Caenorhabditis elegans: one gene and its partner. The protein of the gene in region 2 interacts with the protein of the main gene of each other region in a pairwise test. Each region holds a gene or a part of one and is shown on either strand. Other genes may lie near its edges.

Region 1 (6,725 bases), on a different chromosome or scaffold from region 2:
ATTACAATTGTTTTCTAGGCGTGGTGGTGTCAAATGTCAGAGTCAGTTGTAATAACCTACCGTACTCTTGCGAGTGCCAACAAAACATTATTGAGTATACAGAAGTAAAAGTGCATTTTTTTCGTTTCTCGGGTTTTTCCATCGCCGTCACCGGTTGGTCACCTCGACTCAAACTCCTCACATAATATTTGCTTACACTTTTATTTACTTGTTCTCTTCATTTTCGCCTCAGTAGAGCGTATTTTCCTATTTCCCCAGAGAATTGTCCCAAAGCTTTAAAACTATTAGCTTTAAATTCTAAAATTAGAACCAGATTAATTTATGCTAAGTTGGTTCAAACAGTTTTGCTCAAAGTTTGATGCACCTGTTTAAGTTATCGTCTAGAAATCTTTGAAGAATAAACTGCTGAAACTGCTGAATATCTTGATCTCTGCTTAAATTCGTGAATATTTCTGTTCTCTGAGTCACCAAAGTTGTTTTCGCCATCGCACCATTTTTGCACTAGCTCAGCTGCAGAACAAGAAACCCCACACGACGGCTACCCGTTTCTCTTTTTTCCCTTTGCCACACAGTAGTGTTCTCTGAAATTATTTTGTTGTTTTTGTCTGGTTCTCACTCTCATTCACCATCTGAAAAAAAAGCGGCCACGTCATTTATTGTGGTATGAAAAGTTGCTCTTGAACTCTCTGGAAATCTTAAGATCTTATTGCTCACTCATGAACCTAATTCAATGGTCGGTAAGTGAAGCAAATGTAGTAGTAGGGCACAATAGAAAGTTTGCATGTACTTTTCCGCCATCGCCCTCCCTCTATACCTTGTCCTGCGTCTCAGTGTAAACCGTATGGGGCGGGGCACCTTCTCCTTCGGGGCGACCCGGTCGTACCGCCCCCACCATTTTCACCTACAGGGTTTGATATTCAGATACTAATGTCGATATGTAGTGAGATGGTGTACCTACCATCTCAACAGGTTTCCGCTAATCTTCCCAAAGATTACAAGATTTTGTTTATACTCCAAAAATATTTATTCATCAAGTATCCCAATCCAAATGGTCACTTACTTACAACTGACGATTAAACATACTAAACATTTAATTAAAAAATTATTCAAATTGTTTTCGCTATTCAAAACTTTAATTCACAAATGCAAACTATTCGAAATCTTATATGATTCATGTTAGACTTTCAACTTTCTTCTGATCGCAAGTACTCCATCAATTTGTCAAGACGAGAGTTGGCCTCTACTGCCAAAGATCTTATTTTTCTCGATAATCTTGAATCACTTTCCATCTCTATTCCTCTTCTTCATTAAACTTTTTATAACATGTCAAGGTTTTTATTGGATCTTTGTTTTTAGTTAGTTGTGACCCAATCACTAACGTCACCACAAGAATTCTCTTTCCAAATACAGTAGCCAAATTCCCATGAGGTTTTCACATCGACTTTGGTTCCCAGTCTCCACCAAGGAAGAGATAGAGGGTACATCAATTTGTGTAACGGGTCCTTCTTTTTCCGTCTTTTTCTTCTGAGCGTGGAGAGAAAATGTGTGTGTCGTCTATCTCTCCATCATACTCTACATGCCCTTTTGTTATTTCGCACTTCCCCGCAGCGCCAGGCCTCCTAGGCATCCCCAGACTGAAAGGTCGACCTCTCATACTTCTCCATTCCTTTTCCTTTCCTTTTTCTTCCTTATTCAAGCTTAATCTTAGTCAGATTTTCTGATAGATACTGACTCATTTTTTCTTCATAATGTAACATAACACATAACACCTGCATGTGAGATCTTGACGTGGTCAATTTGTACTTTTTGCTATTTTGTTATTGCTTCTCTAATCTGATCTGGTCTCAATCACATTTTTATCTTCCGTCTTCATGATGCCTTTTTGTGATAAGAAATGAGTTAGATAATAGAAATGAATAGCAAAAAAGCGAACTTTTAGTGATCACGATCAGAACAGTTATTGAAGAATAAAAACAAAACAAAAAGTTCATGATGTGTGTCCATGTGTCTGGTACATGTGTCTGTTTCAGTTATTCTGAGAACTACGTCAATTTCGTGCTCAAGTAAATTTTCATATTCCATAGTTAGAATATCAATCAGCTGCTATCTCTTGTATATTTGCCAACAAGTGCAGATAAATTTAATATGAACTATCTGAGCAATGCATAACCTGTGCCCAATAATGTTTTTAGTTTTACATCATTAATTTCAGCTGCTCGCATCTTATTAGTCCTTTCCATAATCTTCTTTCTTCTCCTCCTCTTTTGCACTTTTCCTAGCATTCTCAATGCCCCACCCACCCCCTTCTTCATCTTTTTTTCCTTTCCGAGAGCGTAAGTGGGCGGAGCCTTCTGTCGAGATGCCAGGACGTCAGTCACTCATTGCCATGCTACTCACGTTTTGGCTTGTCATTTTTTTGGTCACAGTTGTCAGGAAGCTTATCAAATCGTTTTACGCTTTCACGCAAAGTTCTATTCATATCAGTTCATTTTTGTAAAAGTGCATTTGAGTCACTGATTGTTTTTTAAGACATCGAATCCCTCATTTATCCGTCTAACCCTAAAATTGGCATCCGATCTTCCTTAAATCCTCATTTTGGCATCTTGAAAATTATTAGTTTAAGCAAAAAGTTCAGTTGAAGTACACTTGACTTCACCTTTTCAGTTTCCAGTTTTTGTCATGATCATCATCGTTTATATACCATGAAGGGCACCTTCATATCCTTTTTGGAACCAATTGCGCACGCCTGTCTGTCTCTAAAGCACTTCTTGTTTTTCATATGTGAGTGTGGAGAGTGAGAGTAAACCGGGAAAAAAACAACGACAAAGCTAGAAGGGAAAGTAAGAAAAAATAGAAGGAAAAGTGACAAAATAGAATAGAATAGACGTGTGTGTGTGTGTGCGTGGTCTGTGTATTGTTGAGGACACCGGTTCACCACTTTTTCCCTCGAATTCCCTGTTTGGCAGAGACTGAAGCTGAAATTTTTTGTTAGACTTCCGACATTTTTCCATCAAAACTTGATCACATTCGCTCAGAGATGAATCTCCAGTTTCAGTACACTTGCGGGCGCCGCCGCCGCCGAAATTCTGCACTTTGCCTCCAGATTCCCTTGTCCTTTTTGTTTTCGACACTGCGATTTGTCGTTTTGATTCACTAGTCTGTTCCTCCTTTTCCTATTTTTCTAATTCCTAAACGATTACAGTGACATTTGAAAAACGTTCGAATATTTTCAGGGATATCTTCTTTTCCCTTGCATTCAAAAGAATAAGAAATGGACCAACTGACTTCCCAGCTTGGAAGCGCTGAGCTTCAGGCTCTTATTGCTGCCTTGCCACATGATTTGACTCTTAACCCAGTAACTGTAAGTTTTAAATCAAATATGCAAAATATAAATCAAAATCTCATTATTTCAGAGCAAACCATCATCTGCATCAAGCAGTGATTTATCGGCATCTACTTCTACATCTTCATGTATTTTTCCTCCAATCAACGATATGACAGCACTTTCAATGCTTTCCCTAGGTGCCTATCCTGGCCTGTTCACTGGATTCCCACTTTTGTCTACTTTGCCATACTTGAATCTTCCACCACACTCAACAATCGAATCATTGGGACTTATCAACTCAGCCCTTTATCAACAACAAAAAGATGTTCAAGCTGCAATGAACTCACCAGTTAACCAATTTACTGCTGGATTAGCAGCTGATGGACGCCCAAGAGCATTTTCAAGCGCTGCCACTTTGCAACACGGAAAAGATCAAGAGAAACGACGAAAGAGAACAAGAAAGATGGAACCATCACTTCCAATTACAACAAGTACCATTACATGTTCCTCGAATTCGTCTCCCTCATCAAGCTCTATAACTACATCTGTGCTCCGAACATTAGTAGAAGATGATGATGCAGATGTGCATCCAAATAAAGTTCGACCAATTCAAGTAACAAAAGAGGAAGAGGATCTTGTTAGAAGAAAAACTCAAGAATGTAAGTCGTATATTCAAATTTTATAAATTTAAATTTACAATTCTAAATTTCAGTGCTCAAATCCATGCCCCTTCAAAAATTAGAGCCAGAAGTCAGCGCAAGTGGCCCACTTCGCCGTCTTATTCGAGACGAAGACCTTCCAGACGAGGTCGGACCAGATTCGCCATTCCGCCACTACCCAAAGTATCAGGTACACAAGTTAGTAGTTTTTCGATTCTTCCTTTTCTTAATAGTTTAAATCGAAATCTTCTCTCTATTCTTCTACTTTTTTCACATTTTAATGATATTGTCGTGCTTGACAGAACTGCATATTTTACAACCAATTTTTGTTTTAGAAAATTAATTTTAAAAACGCAGCTCTGGTGTGAAAGTAAAGTATTTGATTTTTATTTGATCTGTCATTAAGTTTAAATTGTTCAATAAAATTTCAATTTGCACACTCTTTGAAATTTGAAATACATTTTTTAAACTCTTTTTATTTTCAGCAGAAGCCCCGTTCACAACTAGTCATGCTTCAAGGAATCCAAGCGGCAGTCGCATGTATGTGCATTGAAGCTTTTCAACTCGACGATAAAACCGATGAGGAGAAAAAAGCTTTTTGTCAAAAACAACAAGGCCTTTCACTTGATGATTTGGTCAAGGAAACTGTGCGTCAGGAACTTGTAGCTGCAGAGTAGAACGTTTAGCTCTCATTATTTATACCTATCCACTTCTTTTTCGTTTTCAACCAGCTTTTACTCTAAGTTCAATTTTACTCAATATGGATAGGTTACAGTTTTCCCCGTTGAAATAGCCCCTATTTTGCTCTCAAAAACTACTCACTATTACGTCTCAAGGATCAACCGTTGCGTGTGCATTTTTCGTCTCCCCGTTCCATTTTTTGCTCTTCTCTTTTTTTTCTCTTTGACTAGAACTGTTTCTTTTGGATGGTCAAAGAGGAAAATTTAATTTTAATGTTTTTGAACAAAACTTCAATGCTTTAATATTTTATGTCCGTTTCATATTTTCCAACTTTGTATTTCCTGTTTTAAGCTTAAACCTTCATTTCCAAACGTCTCAATGTAATTCTCACAACATTGCCCAGCCTTTCAAATGATTAACATTTTTTTGTAAAAATTAAACGTTTAAATTCTAAAAATAATCAATCTGTACAAACAAATATGAATAAACATTCTGCAAATTGATAAGTTCATCCAAATGTAGTTTTCAGAAAAAAATAACACATCAAGTACCGTACTATTTTAAATCATGTGGCTTAGACTTTTGAGTTGTTTTCGACAAGTTCACGTCATTTTTCTCTCATTTCCAGTTTCCGTTTTGCACTTTCATTGATCAGTTACCCAGTTTTTAGGAAAATAAAAAAGGGCAATGGGGGATGCGGAAGTCTTTCAGCAGAATGTCACATTTTCAGAGAATGACCTTCGAAGTTTAGATGAAGACTGTAGTTGTTCAAAGCATAAACAAAATTTACAGTGAACTTACAACGTTTGCAAGTGCTTTTCAGAAATATGACTTATGAAGTACAGTTATTCCTAAGCAAACAAAAATGTGCCTGATGAAATAAGTAGCTAAACAACTCAAAAATAGAACGTGGGTGTCCGGTAAAAGCACTTTACTGTTTGAATTTGATTCAACAGCATTTTAAATAGAAGTGTGATAAGACAGCAACAATTTATAAGTTGGTAAATCAATTTTAGGCTATTTTGAATATTTAAAATAGGAAAATGTGTTAGTTTTTGAAAAAAGTGTCCCAAATAAAAAAGATTACCGAATAACAAGGTTCAAGTTCCAATGGTTCGAGACCAATTTGACATTAAAATAAAAACGGGAATATTTTATTTTTGCACAAAAAATATTTTTCAGGGGTATACAGCAAATCTTCACGGGCGTTTCGCGGTGTTTTTTTTTTAAATTTCAATTGAATGTTGTTGGCACACTTGTAAAAAGGAGATCATCGATGTAATGAAATATTTACAAAATCGTGAACACTTTAAAAATCACGACCCGTAGAGTGCAATTCGACACAATTTTCCCGCCAACTTTAGTGCCCCGCAACTTTAAGTGCCTCAAAACAATTTCAGATATAGTTCAAGTTCAAAATAAACTAGAATATCTTCTTGGATGCACATCAGTAGTTTATACACCAAGCGAAATTTTTGAAGATGAAATGCGATACTTGCCGTAAAAAAAATCTGAATTGTTCGAACTTGCATAAGAGCTTGAAATCAAATTTTGGAAAACACACAGTTCGTTTAAATGTGATGTGACACAAATGAATAAATGGTTGGAATCCACTCATATAGTGCAAAAAACTTGCAAAAAACTTGGCAAAAGTGCTGATTATTTAAATTTTGCCAGTCATAATTTTGGAAGGCAAATTATTTCTAGGAAATCTAATTAGGTTTAAAACATTTTTTGGCAAATATTGAAGAGATTCAAACATGCGAAAAAACCGCACACTTTTTAAACATTTGGCAATTTAAAAAAATTCTACATTATGTATTTCGACTAACCGCCTAATCCACCTAAATTTTTAAAGGCTCAAAACTTCTTTTTTTTACTTGGGCGGCATGAAATGAAGTTTCTCCTATTATGCTTATTCTTTTTGCAAATGTTTTCCAATTGCTGCAAATTGATACACCACAAGACTTAGTTTTGCAGATTGCGTACAATTGCTCTTGAATCGGAGCATCATCTCTGCACTTAGAATGTTTCTCCTCCAAAACTACCATATTCCTTGT
Region 2 (7,722 bases):
AGCCTGGACGTGAGTTAATTCCATAACTTAAATTAGAATTAAAAATTGAATTTTTTTTAACTTTAGGCCGTTGCTTTTATAGTAATATCAGACAAAAAACCATGCAATAATTCAAATTATTATTGCTATGTCGTATTTTATTTTATTAATTTTCCAGATTAATGTCAAATGCTCCAAATGCGATAATGCCATCCTTCACATTAACCATCGGTGTAGTTATGAAAGACTACGCTGTCAACTACATTTACTTCAATACGGTGACGATTCCCAATATCGTTCTGGGACTCGGAATCGGTTTCACAGCAGTGTCCCTGATTGCAGTCCTCCTTTGGGGATTCTGTTATTTCAGATCAAAGAGGAATGCAAAACCATTTGTTTTGCAACAACATAGGACAGAACCTACGTGGAGTGTCGCCGAATAGTTCAAATTAATAACGTTTGCATTGTTTTCAAAACTGAAAATTGTAAAGTTCATTTCTCAACTCGCATAAATAATTCACACTATTATCATATTTACAATAAAGCTAACTAATCGTGGTGAGTGTTCTGAACTGATTGTGGCAAAATTCGTAAATGCAAATAAAGCAAAATGTGTGTAGGGGTTTGAGTACAAGTATTAAAAAATAATAATTAAAACAGTTGTACAAATCTATATGGACATGGTGACAATCTAATAAAATACTCGTGATTATATGAAAGGCTCGGATATTTGTGATTAACAGTTTTATACAACAAGCTTATCGTCGGAGGTATGAGTATGCCAGTGTTATAACAGCTCCTATTAATGCAAGGAGAAGTCCTTTTTCACGTCTTTTTTGGACGACGATTTGGTTTTCAAGTACTCCAAGCCGGCCCATGAGAACAACTGAAAACATCGGTAATTTAAAACATTATTTTTGTACAAAAAATACATTGTTAAATTTTTATCAACAATAACTAATTTTTGAAAAGTGTGACGTTGTATGTACTCTCTACTAGCAAATTATAGTGAAATTGATGTGACGCCGCACAGTTGTGAAAGGTTTTTTTGCTTAGTCTGGAGACCTTAAAAATGTCCGTCAAAAACAGCCGTCAAATTATGGAAAATTTTGAAATTTTAAAATTGGAGTTGTAAGACTTTTAGAGTATTAAGTCAAATTTTGCTTCTTCACTTTAAACACTTTAAATTTTAACTGAACTCACTCATTCTTTTCTGCATCATTTTCACTTCCTCGTACGGGTTTTGCACATTTGATGAGTCAAATGAAGTGGGAATCGTCTGGAATTCAAAACTTGATATCTTGGATACTTTCACGCAATTTTACAATTTTCTGATTGTTGTTATGGTTGATTGCATCCTCTTTTAAGTCGAACACGTTCAAATGATTGGGGACTTCCATTCTGAGTGACTGAAATAAAAACATGTTTGGTAAATTGTGAAGCCCATAATACTTTTTAATTACAATTTATCACCAAAAAACAGGTGGTGAAAATAAAAAGAACCGCATCTTTACGTTTTCATATTTATATTTGACATTACAATTAACAAAATACTCACCGTAGTTCTAAAAACTCTCCTTTCTTCTGGAACCAGCGTCGCTCTTCCATTTACCGTAATGTGCTCTGGAACGCTCATTCTTTCTAGCATTGCTGTCCGGGCCTCTTCAAATTTGTTCATCTGAAATAAATATGAAATCTAAATTATATGAAAACGGGTAACGGAACATTTTTTGTGTACATATGTACCAAAAATGTATAGAATTTCTAAGGTTGCGCAAGCCAGTTGAGGTCAGCACGCCCAAACAAAGGAGAAAAAAACTCACCAATCTATTGAGCGGGTCTATCTGCATAAGGTCGGCACCTGTCACTGACAGGTGGTCCGGTACTTGCATCATCTAGTTGAAAAATCTGAACGAATTTGTGAAATATATTAGAAAAGATGAAAAATCAATATGTACGTTGTAAAAGGTAGTAATGTTATTCGGACCTTGAACCGAAGTAGTGATAAAACAACGAGAGATAAAAGGAACAAATCGTTTACTATGAACCCGTGTGTTACGGATAGTTTGAGGGAGAAAAAGAAATAGAAAGAAAACACAATGATCAGAAAAAAAAACATCATAAGAACGAAAGAACAAAAGAAATAAAAACAAAAAAGTGACGTTATTAAAAGAGAACCTAATACAAAAAAATGCATTACTCAAATCAGAGCAACATGTTGCTAGGAGTCGGTTTCCATGGGCACAATGTGTTCATTTTTCCGCTGACTTCTCATCATTCGAGTCGTTGGCTGAAATTGTTAAACAAGTTTTTTTTTCGAGAGTATATATTAAATAATTGGATTCATGCCCATCAGTCTGTGATTAAAAAACATGCGTCATGAATATTATTCAGCCTTCACTGAATTGTTCGCTGTTGTTTAAACTTTATAGTAAACTTTATAAAAAGTCATGTTTCTTAACATATTAAGCGGCCCTAAGTTATCATTGGTCCCGAAATTCAATTGTAAAGCTCTGGTTCAATTCAGTAATCAAATTTCCAAAAACAATACTACATTTGATTTGATTTAATGTCGAGTGAAAATAAAATGACGAACAAATACGTACATTTTCGTTTTAAATTAACAATAGGCGTGACGTCAAAAACAATACAACTTATAGTCAGAACTAGAAATCAAACCAGAAAAGAAATCTGAAGGCTGATATTATTTTTAGCAAGCTCCCTTTGGCATTTAAGTTTAGTCGGTTATGTTTCTTAGTAGCTGAACCCCAAAAGAGATTTTTCATTTCTTTGTTGCCAAACTCCTTTTTTTGTCCTCGTGTGAAAATTGATTGAGTTGCAAATTTTCTTGAGCCGAGGTAATATCGTTTCCTATCTCAAGATATCTACTAAATTTAAGCTTTTCATTTATGAAACACACATTTTTTAGACTACAACTACCACTACAAGTACCCTTCTATATTAACACAATTTTTTTAGAATTCCCATCACGCATCACTTATTCATTTGCAAAATTTTTCTCCCGTTTAAACTTGAACTCTTGATTGAATTTAATTTTGCAAAATTTGCACAACTCAGCAGTGTTTGATCTTCATAATTTTTGCAAAACATTAAAAACCCACTCTTGAAACATTGAGTCCTCATCGCGCACTCCATAAACGCCATCAATTGTTCACCGCACGCCCCATTTTCCATTTCCTCATCACTTGACGTTTTCTGACATGAAATTGCTTCTCTGAAAAGTGAACATCTGTCTTTCCAAACTTTGAACGTTAACAGTTAAACAATACCTGAACTCGTAGCCACATGGGCTTGCCACCAAATGTCCAACACAGTGACATTCAAAGTTAACTGTTCCATCGGGGTTTTCTGGTCCTGTAAGGTTTAAATTTAGTTACACAAAGTAGTTAGGCGGTTGAAAGTCTTGAGAGGAGCATTGGGGAAATTTATTTTGTGAAAAATGGAATATTATTTTTATCAATTGAATCGCATCAAAATTATTAACATTTTCATTCCATTAATTATTTTGAAACAAAAATAACAACTCGTTTCATTTCTGTTACGTTCTTTTTTTACGGCGTCAAGCTACATTTCTTATTTGGAACAAAAATTGAGTATAAAATAGAAAAAATGGTGAATTATTTCAAAATATAAAGCCAGGTTTCATATCAAAAGCCAAAAACTATTTTATCAAAGCTAACGCAAACCTGGATTATTATCTGGATAAACATCATTCGGGTTGGTGTTTGCTAACTTTTGAAAATACGAATCTTTGATATCATCCCAAAATTCCTCTTTTCCCATTACATATTGCTTCTGTAATTTTTAAAAAAAATATTATTGACTTGGAAAATAACTTACATCATTGGAATTTTTGGAGTTGATCGATTCTGTCATCTAAAATTTTTTATTGTTAAATAATTTAAGATTCAAGAAATTAAATGAAAAAAATATGCTTTGGTGAAAGTATTATTTTTCTCTTGAATTTCGTTCCGCAAAAACAAGTTAAAATGAGTAAAATTACACTTTTTCGTCGTCAACAACAAGGTTCGTAAATCGACTGACGAGAGAGCAGAGGCGACAGACAGTGGCTAAACACGGAGTGCGGAGCAACGTTGCGCGAGGAGACAAAACACTCTTCGCTTTATCGATTCTTTGTGGCAACCCGTGTACAGACAAAATATGTATATGCCGGAGCATATATCAGGCACTGGAGACGCAATGTCTATGACGGGAATGGAGGTTTGTATGAGAAAAGGTGCCAGGAAAATGTGAAACTTTCAGAACTTCTCAAACCCTGCAACAAATCCAACAGATGATCAAAGGAAAATTGAAGCGGGACACGATCACTTTTTTGTTAGTTTTGAGACAAAATTCCAGCCAAAAAAACTGAGAAGCTTTAGTTCCAGATTCCCGAAGAAGCGGTTGGATCCATATACGAATCCGCGGATTATATGGCAATTATGGATAAATTTGCAGATGTAAATTTAAACTGATAATGTGCGACGAGTATTTAAAAAATTTCAGCACTTCCACAGCGATGTCGAAGCGCACTGCGAAACCGATCCTGTTCGTCAGATAAAAACCGTCAGAACTCAACTAAGTCAGTAGTGAGATTTATTTACAGTTGTAGTACGGCAAATGGAAAAATAATCAAAAACCTTTCCAATAGTGTTAAAATGACCAAATATCATAATATTATTTATTAATGTAGAAAATGGCACAGTTTTCACCATTTTTGGACTGTAAATAACAAATTATCAATTTTTACAGTAGCATTATATGAATGGGTTTTTATCATTTACTCAAAAAGTCGTAGTTCATTTTTTGAACGTTATTGTTGACTTTATTCATGAAAACATTAATAAAACCAATTGAAAATTTTTGAAGAAAAAACCTTAAAAATAACAAACCTGTATTTCAGGAGACATCACGCACACCCTCGACAAGCTCCTTGAAGACAATGCAAAAAGAGATCGTCGCGAGCAGGTTTGTTCACAACGTAAATGTTCAGCATGTTTGAGACAAAATGACCAGGAATGAAAAGTGTTTTAGAAAAACACATGGCTAGGAAGTGTGATGTTTTTCCCATGATGTGTTGTTTTGAAGTCAATGTGATTTCAATCAGGACGATGTTTGAGGGAAAACGATAACTTGACTAATAAAAGTTAACTGCTGCATAGCAAAACTTTTTGGATGGGAATGTGAATGCGAAGCTTTCGAAAATACTGTTGAAAACTCGGGATATTTCAAATCATTGGATAATCTGAATAATCAATTTGGCAGTAGTGAAAAAGCTTCATATAAAATTGCATTACACAGCACCATATATAGGTGTTTCTTGTGCGGCGGCCTAATAATGTTATAATTTTGAACAGAATTTCCTACAAACTTTCGATTTACGAGTTCTGCAGTCTTGATTTTGAAGATTATTCAGAACAACTTATTTTTGACTGTATTTATTTCTTTCAAAAAGAACAATATATTTTCGAAAAAATTAAAATCGTTGCTCCGCAGTAACTGACATATTTCTGATACACATCACACTTTTCGCGAATTTGCTAGTTGTGTGTAGCTTACGTTGTAGCACTACGCGTACTTTGTTAACGGTCCATAGACCACACATCACTGAACGCACATCACCCTGCGTGTACGTAACACACAGTGTTTCTAATCCTCTTGATTAGTGCACTCTCTGTGCACCTCGAGGGCCCCATATTTTTATCGATTTTCTTATTGCAGTTCATCTGGGCAGGCTTGGCTGGTCTCGCACTCGTCACACTCATCTCGTTACTTCGCAAGTAATTATAACCAATCAGTTTATTCATTTTTTCTCTCTACCCCCACTACGTCATGTTTCTGTCCAAAATGATAACAATGATACGAATAGAACAGTCTCCTTTGTACCTTCAATCTCGACATTTTGACTCTCGTCTAGACTTTTCAACCGCTTTAACTTTTTATAAAGCATAAGTTCACATTTTTAACGAATCTCGATCCCCCCACACTACATCGCTTTAAAATCTCAAATCCCGTTGTGAGAGTTTTGATAAATGATTTGAATTGAATATTTCAAGTTTTTTATTTAAAGTGTTTTTTGATATTAATTACTCACTTTTGTATTTACTTTTTAAGAATTGAATATTATTGTAGTTGTATTTCAGGTAAAAAATACAGGTTTTCTCCCATGATCACACGGGTTTCACTTCTCCGCTTGCAGCACGCAAGAAAGGTTTTAACAACTACAGGTATCCAAGAAAGTTTTAACAAAACAATTTTTATTGTGAATATTCAGCATCTACTAGCTCCAAACCATCGACGCTGACTATCGGAAGTGTTAGTGTACAACTTCAAGATGCAAAGAACCCAGACTTTGTCCCAGCCTTCTATGGGCAGAAAAACAATCCCCCACAGGATTTGCTCCCACATTTGAGATGGCTCATTCAAAAAGACAAATTAAAGCAAGACGTGTTTCTGCTGGGAGTGCCGGGAAAAATCAGATTGGAACTTGTCTTGAGATATTTGGTAAGATTTTATTCCTATAAAATTATAAAAGTAAAAAGATATAGGGTACTTATGGGTTTCGTTCCCCCAAAATGTTTTAATTTTCTAAGTTTCAATCAACCACAAAAACGTGAACTTTTTGGAACAATTTGTAGAAATGAATGCTTCGTTCCTTATTTTTGTTCACGCTTTTAACATGAAAGGTGGTTAATTGTTATTTAGAAAATTAAAACATTTTGGGTGGAACGAAACCAATAAGTACCAGTTATAGTTATTAAAGGTAAATTTTTTGTGAAAAACTAGTATAAAATAATCTAATAATTTCACCGTGTTCAATAAAATAATTTTAAAGGAAGCTACAAATCGAGAGTTTGAGTACCTACCAATCACTAGAGACACCACCGAAGCAGATATCAAACAGCGACGTGAAATTAGAGATGGAACTGCATATTACACAGACTTGGTAAGCACTTTCTTTAAAAATTTGAGATTTCAATTTCTCATTCATAGTGTGCGGTTCGTGCAGCATTGAAAGGAAGAGTGCTAGTAATTGATGGTGTGGAAAGAGCCGAACGAAACGTGCTTCCAATCCTGAACAATCTTTTGGAAAATCGAGAAATGCAATTGGACGATGGAAGATTTTTGATGAAGCATGACAAATACGATGAGCTGAAGGTGAAATACGATGAAGCGACACTGAAGAAGATGGGAATGGAGCGAGTTTCTGAAAACTTCCATGTCATAGCCCTTGGTCTTCCCGTACCAAGATTCCCGGGAAATTCTTTGGATCCGCCGTTCCGAAGCAGATTCCAATGCAGAAATATTCAGGAGCTATCGTTCCACACATTTTTGGAACAAGCGAAGCTCATTGCTCCAAACGTTAGTGAGACAAATCTTAACGATTTGATATCCGTTGTGTATGCCTATAATTCGGAAGCGTCAACTTCAAGACCAAGAATCGGCACAGCTGTCGTAGAGAATACATTGAAGATTTGGGTAAGTGTACACTATTTTCGAAAGTGATAAAAGGCGTATTGAAATTGATCTAAAATTGTATTGACGTTTCAATTTTCAGAACGAGAATCCCAGCTATTCCGCAGGAGAAATTGTCAACTTCTCATATCCTGCCAAAGAAGTTCTATCTGACAGTGAAAAAGATCTTATCAACACATTCAAGACAAAGTTTGAATTGGTAAGTTACAATTATGTTTCTCAGAGTATTCAAAACATTTTCTGCAG

The links.
Region 1: the proteins of F11C1.1 (region 2) and F45D3.2 interact in a two-hybrid assay, tested with the Caenorhabditis elegans proteins (one large-scale study listed by BioGRID).

What each region holds. Positions count from the first base shown.
Region 1 is NC_003283.11:12,537,807-12,544,531, forward strand, and holds F45D3.2 (Homeobox domain-containing protein), read left to right. Parts: upstream 1-3,232; 5' UTR 3,233-3,271; coding exon 3,272-3,361; intron 3,362-3,413; coding exon 3,414-3,984; intron 3,985-4,037; coding exon 4,038-4,174; coding exon of another isoform or gene 4,175-4,182; intron 4,183-4,469; coding exon 4,470-4,661; 3' UTR 4,662-5,171; downstream 5,172-6,725.
Region 2 is NC_003284.9:12,985,333-12,993,054, forward strand, and holds F11C1.1 (CHCH domain-containing protein), read right to left. Parts: upstream 5,248-7,722; 5' UTR 5,023-5,247; coding exon of another isoform or gene 4,904-5,022; 5' UTR 4,893-4,903; intron 4,583-4,892; coding exon of another isoform or gene 4,507-4,582; intron 4,461-4,506; coding exon of another isoform or gene 4,383-4,460; intron 4,336-4,382; coding exon of another isoform or gene 4,264-4,335; intron 4,222-4,263; coding exon of another isoform or gene 4,162-4,221; exon of another isoform or gene 4,012-4,161; intron 3,877-4,011; coding exon 3,841-3,876; intron 3,796-3,840; coding exon 3,687-3,795; intron 3,355-3,686; coding exon 3,270-3,354; intron 3,215-3,269; coding exon 3,102-3,214; intron 2,270-3,101; coding exon 2,232-2,269; 3' UTR 2,000-2,231; downstream 1-1,999. Other genes in the region: scav-4 (SCAVenger receptor (CD36 family) related), read left to right, coding at 1-9, 158-422; mff-1 (Mitochondrial fission factor), read right to left, coding at 738-865, 1,183-1,258, 1,305-1,388, 1,538-1,657, 1,803-1,871; F11C1.7 (Mitochondrial fission factor), read left to right, coding at 4,162-4,221, 4,264-4,335, 4,383-4,460, 4,507-4,582, 4,904-4,968, 5,722-5,784; vwa-8 (VWFA domain-containing protein), read left to right, coding at 6,167-6,227, 6,275-6,504, 6,836-6,946, 6,994-7,479, 7,559-7,675.